2 linked regions of the Oryza sativa Japonica Group genome follow. The protein of the gene in region 1 binds, or shares a complex with, the protein of each later gene. Links are inferred from orthologs where the notes say so. Each region holds a gene or a part of one and is shown on either strand. Other genes may lie near its edges. The genes, in order: DNA topoisomerase 3-alpha and recQ-mediated genome instability protein 1.

Region 1 (4,539 bases):
GTAGTCCCACAGTGATCTGAACCACCGTTTGAGATCAGGAAAAGGATTCAATTTGGCAATGACTGTACAGTTTATTCTCACTTGTATTAATTACTTATCTTCACTTCAGTTGTTTGTTCCTGTTCAGGGAACCAGAAGTTTGGAAGATCACTGGAAAATCCTAGTTGGTGAGAGATATTAGTACACAAAGCATCGTGATGTCTGAGATATCTACATATAACATACAGATTCCATAATGATCTGCGAGGTTATTTGCTATTACTGGATCTTCCTTACGTCAAAGATGTTTCTTTTAGTCATGCCATGATACAGACAGACGAGTACTGCTTGCTAAGGAGTCACAATCAACAGAACGTGATTGATCAGAAGGAAACGGCAAGTGAGTTCAGGAAAAGGTAACATTCAAAACAATTATAAAAAAGATGTCATATTGAAAACAACTCTGCACAAATCAGGGCAATCAAAACTTCTGTACAAAAAGAACAAATGAATTGGCTGTGGAGGGTTAAAAGGGCTCCTTAAGAATAACCTCTAGAAGAACAGGAAAAGAACAGAAAAGAAAGAAAAAAAAAATGAATATTGTACATGTACATGTTTCAAAGCTCTCATGGTGTTTGGCATCTTCTTCCAGGATTGTTAGGATCATTGGTGCATCCAGATGCACCTGGCTTTGCTGAAGTTAAGAACACCGTGCTTCCCTGTCGTGGCTGCGATCTCGCTCCCAGCAATCTGGATGCATGACTGATGGTGATTGTGGTGCTGAAGATCAGCATGAAAATGAGAGCTAGAGGCAGAACTTGCTGTCTTCTGATCGGCATAGTTGAGCAGCTGACCTCCTGGTATGTTCTGAATTCTTGTGGAAGGCGAGTTACGAAGGCTGAAAAACTGGGGTGAATATAAAGACTGTGTCAACACGTATATGTTCATATGTTGTATAAATTTATAATGCTCTTGAGCGCGTTTGGTTCCTTGTGTGTCAAGCTTCGATGTGCCTACCCGAGGGCTCGACGCGTTGTCGCGGTCAGCTACGACTTGCAAAACCATTCATCACGTGGTTTTCATGTAATTGTAAACCTTGACCTTCGCATAAGAGAGCTTGACCTTTGGCATAAGAGAGTCTTCGTGTAGAATTCATACGAAATCCCTTTCACAGTTTCAACATTCCAGAGTTTTAAGTGCATGATCATTCAATACTATTCCGTACTCTCCAAGGCTCAGTAAGGAATGCTAAATCTCTCGTTTTCTTCATGTTAAAGAGGATGCAGCTTGAATGGTCGAATTCACAATTGACGGCTCCACCCCAAAAAAGTTCAGGATGACTCGAAGTCGAATCCGCGTAATACGCTGGCGAAAATTGAATGGGCCAAATGTAGCCCATATCCATTTTATTCATGGGTCTTTGAACAATTGAGCTCGAAAGCCCAGCTCTCTCTCGTGAAAAGCTTAACCGACCTAGCTCTCGAGGGCGCGCTCAGAACCAAAAATTTCGAAAAGGTAAGGCCGAAATCGCCGCCTCCTCCCTCCGGTTTCTCCCCCTCCCAGAGCGTAGCCTGCGCCTCCTCTCGCGATGCACCACGGCGGCGGCGGCGGCGCGATCCGCGTGCTGAATGTGGCGGAGAAGCCGTCGGTGGCGAAGTCCGTCGCGGAGATCCTGTCGCGGCCGTCGGGCGGGATGCGGTCGCGGGAGGGGCGGTCACGGTACAACCGCGTCTTCGAGTTCGATTACTCCATCGGCGGCCGCGCCTGCCACATGCTCGTCACCTCCGTCACGGGGCACCTCATGGAGCTCGAGTTCGACGACCGGTTCCGCCGCTGGCACTCGTGCGACCCCGCTGATCTCTTCCACGCCCCCGTTCGCAAGTCCGTACCCCAGGTACGGCTCTCTGTTTCCTGCTACCCATTTCTCCGAACAGTTGGTGCGCAACGCGCGGTGTCCTGTGAATTGTGCCCTCACCAGTCACGTGTCGTTTTTTGCATGGTGTGGTCTCTTAGTGTCTTGCGTCCATGGAGTTGGCTGTGTTTAACTCACGGTGAAATGTGCGGCACTGAAATTTCGTTGACTAGTTTATGTTCGTGCGTTTGGTGGTGTACTGTACCTGGATTCCAGTTCGTGGGGGCCTGAGGGTCTAATAATGAGTACCTGATTTGTACTATCAATGGATGCGTCTGCTGATTTTGTTTAGGGTACTGCACTTAAGGAACTCTATTCTAGGGTTCTTCAGGAGCTTGATCGGGGGACATCGCATGATTGCTACTCGTTTTTGAATTGGGAACCACTAGTGCTGCTGGTCATTTGCACTGTTGCGCAGCAGCAATCTGGTTCCAGTCATATACGTCTGTGTGTTGTACTATACATGTGATACATTAAGTTATTGTTATTGTGATAGGAAGAGGGATACAGTAATGCATAAACTGTCCTATTTGGTTATTTTGAAAAACTGAAGGCTATACTTGCTATTGCTGGTATAAGAGGGTAGTTGTATGCCGGGCTGGCCGACCTAGTATGATTATATGAACACCCTGGCAGATACTATTCTCAGGCCTCAGGAAGTCGGGCTTTTGTTCTGAAATTAAAGTTTATCCTACAACATCATTTATCTTGCAGAAAAATTAGTAAACTAGAGGCAGAAGTTAAACAGATATACAAGTTTCCTCTCATTCTTCCGTTCTTCCAGCATCAGGAGAACAAGATGCTACTCTTTTTGTCGGTTGCACTGCCACAACCATGCTGGAGCTTGCTTGTTGTATGTGATTTGGTGTAGCAGTATGTTTTCTCCATAGTCATCATTGATCTGATAGATTGCCTATGTATCTTTTCCTTTTGTCTTTTTAGAATCTCCTATCTTAGATGGATTTATTGGGTAACATGCAGGCATGCCTTAAATTGCTGAGAATGACCATGCTCATTTGTCTATTTGCCCAAACACGTGATCTGTTTTTGTGTTTTGATGCTAGTGGTATGGTCTGATGGTAATGAAGTTATAATTACTGCTCCAGTTTCTTTTTTTTTCAGCTGAGGTATATTCATTTTTTTAATTAATTGCAGGATAAGCAAGACATAAAAAGAACATTGGAAGAGGAAGCCAGGAAGTGTCAGTGGCTTGTGCTTTGGCTTGATTGTGATAGAGAGGGTGAGAATATCGCATATGAAGTGATTGATATATGCGCAGGTGCCAACAGCCGCCTCAACATTTGGAGAGCTCGTTTCTCAGCTTTGATTGACAGGTATTTGTTGCTACTGATGACTTTCTCTTCTTGATTGCAAAGATGGCATATCCATCTCCTGCATCGCACGGGTATCCCCATTCACTTCACATCCGGCCCGATTGGTGTTACTTTGAGTTAGTTGTATGGAGATGAACTATGGTGTTCAAGTTGACTGGATAAACCCGACCCACAGTCCCACACTCATCCCAAATCTCCTGTTAATGTCTTAAAGAAATGAAACTGCAGGGAAATCCATGAAGCTGTGCAACATCTTGACAGACCCAACAAGCTCTTTGCTGATGCTGTTGATGCAAGACAGGTAATTAAATTATCATTCCAACCTTTGTTGATGTTGCATTCTCTTGCATCACATCTACTGAGAAGTACTACAGCAACTCTAGCAAACTAAGGTCCTCGAAGAGCCTCTGCCACATGTTCTGACTATAATATTATAGCTTTTGTACTGGTATAGGAATGGAATGGGACGACGGTATATTTTCTCCTTCTTATATTATTCTTCTCAAATGAAAAGCATTTTCTTGCACCTTCTTAGTGTCTTGAAGATCTCCGATGATTATTAAGAATTTTGTACAGGAAATTGACCTTCGCATCGGTGCCTCCTTCACAAGGTTCCAGACAATGCTGCTGAAAGATGCATTTGTTCTTGATGACACTGGTGATGATAGGAATATAATTCTGAGTTATGGTCCTTGCCAGGTACTTCACTATAGAGTATGAACAGAAGATACTAAATGATGCCTACTTTCATCTTGGTGTAACATGTTCTTTGCATTGCAGTTTCCAACCCTAGGATTTATTGTTGAGCGTTTCTGGGAGATTCAAGCTCATGAACCTGAAGAGTTCTGGACAATAAATTGTTCCCACACTTCAGATGAAGGCACTGCATCTTTTGGTTGGATGTAAGATGCACTCGACATGTTGTACTGATTCTTTCATTACAAACGTCATCTGAGATTATTTCTTGTTTGGCAGACGTGGTCATTTGTTTGATTACTCATCTGCTGTTGTGATCTATGAAATGTGTGTTGAAGAACCAATGGCGACAGTGAGCCCTTGACATCTTTTATTTCAACACCAATGTTCACGAAATAATAACGATAAGTATCTTTGATGACAGAACAAAAGTACCAGTTTAGTTGTATTTTTTCCCTGCAGGTGCAAAATGTAAGGAATCAAGAGAAACTAAAATACCCCCCATATCCACTAAGTACCATAGAGCTTCAGAAACGTGCCTCTAGGTACTTCAGAATGAGTTCCGAGCACACAATGAAGGTGTTAAAAATAATTCTATTTTGGTAACCTTGTATACCT
Region 2 (4,501 bases), on another chromosome or scaffold:
GATAAACATGATGATGACGAAAGATCGAGGTCCCGCGTGTTCAAGTTCCTGACGAGAATGCCAAGCAAAGAAAAAGACAAAAGAAAAAAAGATGCGTCTGCCGGGAGTCGAACCCGGGTCTATTGCTTGGAAGGCAATTATCCTAACCGTTGGACTACAGACGCTTTTTGTTTTAATCGAGTACTACATGATTATTATTACAATGTCCAACTAAATACTCTCAAAAGTCACTTCAATATGATCTCATGTATATTTTAAAAATTTTATTTTTGTGGCTACGATGCTCTAGGAACAGTGGAGTTATGAAATGTGTAAAACTATATGTATACATAAAAGTATATTTAACAATAAATCAAATGATGGGAAAAGAATTAATAATTACTTAAATTTTTTGAATAAGACGAACAGTCAAACATATTTAAAAAAGTCAACGGCGTCAAACATTTAGGGAAGGAGGGAGTACATGTTTTAACTTTTAATATGTGGAGGAGTTGATATATCCGACTGAGTAAAACAAATCAAATTTAACATTAGAGTGAATTGTATTTTAGACCACTTATTATTGTCATAGTTTCACTTAGAACTAGGCTATGTTTCATGTCTTTCACTTTGGATGGGGAATTTGTTACCTTCTATTGCACATTGGATCATTCTTGTGTTCCATGCCTCTAACCTAGCTACTTTTGCTGCCACTCACTATTTCCTTGGCTCACCAGTAACTAAACACACCCATCAATACTCTATCATAATCATTCAGGACCTTGATTTTTTTCCTTTTGGCTCCTTTTCTCCCTCCAACATCATGTGAGCTGGAAAAAATCACTTGATTGTGAGATCACAGGCAACAACCGCAGCAGCGAGCAGCCATGTGGTTTGGTTTTGTGAGTTCGAGCTCAGGAATGGATCCGAGAGAAGGAATCCTAGTCATGTGTTTGTTCGAGTTGATCCATAGCAGCATCTCAATGGTGAAAAAACCAGAAGAAGAGAGATGGAGAAGAAAGTCAGTCCAGTTTGAAACTTTTGCAAAATCACCTAGTCCAAAGCGAAAAGATTTGTCTACCCTTAGTCCAAAATGAAACATGGGTAAAAAGTACTACTCCCTCCATTTCATATTATAAGGCTTTCTAGCATCATTAACATATATATGAATGTGGGCAATGCCACAATGCTAGAAGGTCTTACAATATGAAACGGAGGAAGTAGCTCAAAGTGCAATTCACTCTTTTAACATGTCCTGGAGGGAGTCAATTTGGACTTCTTTTCCTTACCCTTTTCCCTATTTAGGCCTCCTCACCCAGGCCGACAATATCCCAACCTTCCAGGCTTCCAGCCCATCTCGGTCCAAAAATTCGGCACTGACATATGGGCCCCACATGTCATCCCCAACTTTCCCCCCTTCCAAAACCCTCTTCCCCTCATTTCCAAACTTTGGAGGGAAACCACCAAAATCTCCCAAACCCCACGATCAACCAACAAAAATTTCTCCCCCAAAATGAGGCGCCGAAACCTAATCATCACCTCCGACTCCGACTCCGACGACGGCGGCGGCGGCGGCGGCGCGGCCACCGCCTCCACCCCCGCGTCCGCCTCGGCGTCCGCCTCCTTCCCGAGCGTAAGCGGCGGCGGCTGCGGCGATGGCTGGCCCTCGCCGCAAAACCCTAGGTCAGTCCCCGTTCAGTTCCCCTCCCCGTCCTCGCCTCCCCCTTCCCCTCCCATAGAGATTTCCGATGAGGAGGAGGCGGAGGCGGAGGTGGTGGTGGAGGAGGAGGAGGTGGTGGTGGTGGAGGACGAGGAGGAGGAGTATGAGGAGGTGGAGGAGATCGAGGACCCCGATGGGGACTCCCCCTTCGTCGACGCCCCCGAGCACATCTCCCCTCCGCCGCCCCCTCCGCCTCCGGCGCGAACGCCGATGCCGACGCCGACGCCGACCCCGACCCCGACCCCGACCCGACCCCCCGTTCCCGTGTGGGCTGCCCCTCTTCCGGCCCGAACCCCAACTCCTACTCCATCTGCGCCGCCCCGAGCCGCGGCGCCATCCCCTGCGGGAACCCCGTCGCCGTCCCCGATTCCGCCGTCGAGCACCCCGGTGTCTGCGCTGAGCGGGCCGCTGCGGCAGGTGGACGAGTTCCTGAGGGGGCTCGGGCTGCGGCTGCGCCCGGAGTGGCTCGAGTCCTGCGCCGCCGGGGTACCCGGGTTCTACGGCCTCGGCGGCGTGGAGGCGATGGCCAGGCGGTGCTTCGAGCAGTTCCTCTTCGCCGACATGAACGCGTGCGGCGCGGGCGTGCTCCCGGAGGGCGTTGGGAGCATGCACAACGCCGTCCTCGATGGCCCCCTCGTGCTGCAGGTTATACCATTTTCTCTTTACTTAGAATGCGTGGTTAAATTTTTTGGTCATACTTTTGTTACTGAGCTCTAGGTTCCCTATACCTGTACTGCTGTGGTGCCGCCTAGTGTGGCATGCTTGGTGTGATCTGCGGAATTTTGGAAGGCACTTAAGATCAAATATCTGCTAGTATTTTCAGGGAATAAATATGTGCTTCAAGCTTGAGCCCGTCGATGTTTACTTGTTTCAGTTCGGTAGTTCATGATTCATCTGACACTCAATAGAATGGAAAGCTGTGGTTTTCTTCTTTTGTATATCAACTCATCAAGTGTGCCATGAGTGCTGAATTTCGTAGCACAAATGGTACCGCGCCGAAATAAACATGATTTTGATAGCACAGTAAATTGCTTATTCTGAAAAGTAGTTGTCAGTTCCTGTGTATTTCTTTCCTAGCACTGATGCCTTTATACGTCTTGTAAGTTCAATTTCCAATCTCCATACAGGCATACACTAGCTCATGCCATATTCAATAATTTTTTAACTTTAGCATACACTAATTGTACATTGTTGTAGTTTTGCATTTTTTTTTGTGATAATGTGTTCTGGGGTTTTCCTTTTGTTCTTTTTTTCCTATGGTTTAACTGACTCTTGAGTTTGTAAGGTTGATGAGATTGTCAACCTGTCAGCTCCTTTAAGGGAAAGATATCGTGATGCACATGCGGGGCCCAAAAGATGTTTAAAGTTATCAATGACAGATGGGATCCAACGCATATATGGAATGGAATACAGGCCGATCAAAGACCTGGAAGTTCTTGCCCCTGCTGGTTTTAAGGTCATTGCTTTCTCTGTTCCTTTTTCTTCAGAACATTTGTATTTTGCGTTCATTTTATTAGTTTACATTTAAAAATTATCAGTGAATTTTTTTTTCACACAACATAGTTAGATTTATCCATTAGCATTCAATATAGCAAACTAATTATCACAAAACTCTGGTTTTTCCCTCCTAGATAGTAGCTTCCATGGTCACTGGTGCTCTGTTAGACTCCCTGCCTTTTCAATTTACTTTTCTCTTAAGAAATGGTTTCTGGAGACAGGCTTCTACAATTAAACGATAAATGCTTATCAATCTATGTAAACAATTTGATTGCGAACAAACTATTGACTAAGTGATAATACAAAATAGTGTGACTGGAAGAGACATTTTTTCCATTTGCTATTTTTTGTATCAACAGCTCATAACTTGTCAACACATCTCAGATTGTTATAAGAAATGTGCACATAAGGAGAGGCCTTTTTATGCTGGTGCCCGAGGTCATTGAGATTCTTGGGGGTGTTGATGATGAACTGGATGAAGCACGTAATAGGCTTGTTTCTGAAGTAAACAAACCGCCACGTGGCAAAAGGTATATGTTGTGCATTAGTGAATTGAGCAGATTTACATACATGACATTTAATTGCAACACATGCTTCAAACTTGGATTTTAAGCAATGACTTGAGAGTTATTTTTGCGAATATCCTAGTAGTTGGATAAATCATATCATTCAAATGCAAATGTGCCTGTTTAGGATCTGTGGTAGTGGCCTTTCTGTGGTAATGGTGGGAGCCATATGCTGGGAGGTCCTTTATGAACAACGGAACTTTCTTTGCCTTCCATTTCTTTTCAATTTCATGGAATTTATTTAGCTTCTAAGTTTAAACAAAACAAATACTCAATGTTCACATCTATCCAGTCAGTTGCATGCCAGAAATTTTGTTTTTCAATGTGTATATAACATTTCTTGACAGGACACTGCTTGTTTGTTCACAAGTCACAACTCTTCATGCTGCAGGAAACAAGGTGGATTACCATTGTCTTCGAGAGCCACTCTAGCAGCCTGGCCAACAAATGCCAATGCTACAAATGATGCCGAGCAAGGAGCCTCAGTGCCAAGAACAGTGAATACCCCTCATCCAACCAGATTAGGTACTATATAGATTTCATTGATAGATTGATTGTGTGGCGAACTAGCTTTTGTTCTTAGAAAGAATGGAAACTGAATTATAAATTAGTAGTAATTGTTTTGCTGGAACACAGAGCATTGCTATAACGTGGCCGTTTTTTTAATCCATTGGCTTTCAATGCTAAGTTAGGCTAGTTTGTCCACAATTGCTGCAACAAGCACTCTCAGTAGACTACC

Evidence for each region.
Region 2: DNA topoisomerase 3-alpha (region 1) and recQ-mediated genome instability protein 1 share a complex: the UniProt entries of both Arabidopsis thaliana proteins name them as parts of the RMI complex. The link is inferred for Oryza sativa Japonica Group from reciprocal best matches to the Arabidopsis thaliana genes TOP3A and RMI1.

The regions. Positions count from the first base shown.
Region 1 is NC_089037.1:3,506,862-3,511,400, reverse strand, and holds the start of DNA topoisomerase 3-alpha, read left to right. Parts: upstream 1-1,467; 5' UTR 1,468-1,567; coding exon 1,568-1,873; intron 1,874-3,046; coding exon 3,047-3,225; intron 3,226-3,453; coding exon 3,454-3,526; intron 3,527-3,801; coding exon 3,802-3,924; intron 3,925-4,005; coding exon 4,006-4,127; intron 4,128-4,200; coding exon 4,201-4,273; intron 4,274-4,383; coding exon 4,384-4,500; intron 4,501-4,539. UniProt on the Arabidopsis thaliana protein: Releases the supercoiling and torsional tension of DNA introduced during the DNA replication and transcription by transiently cleaving and rejoining one strand of the DNA duplex.
Region 2 is NC_089038.1:19,598,513-19,603,013, reverse strand, and holds the start of recQ-mediated genome instability protein 1, read left to right. Parts: upstream 1-1,419; 5' UTR 1,420-1,492; coding exon 1,493-2,344; intron 2,345-2,984; coding exon 2,985-3,155; intron 3,156-3,580; coding exon 3,581-3,726; intron 3,727-4,153; coding exon 4,154-4,287; intron 4,288-4,501. UniProt on the Arabidopsis thaliana protein: Essential component of the RMI complex, a complex that plays an important role in the resolution step of homologous recombination, in a process called Holliday Junction dissolution, to limit DNA crossover formation in cells.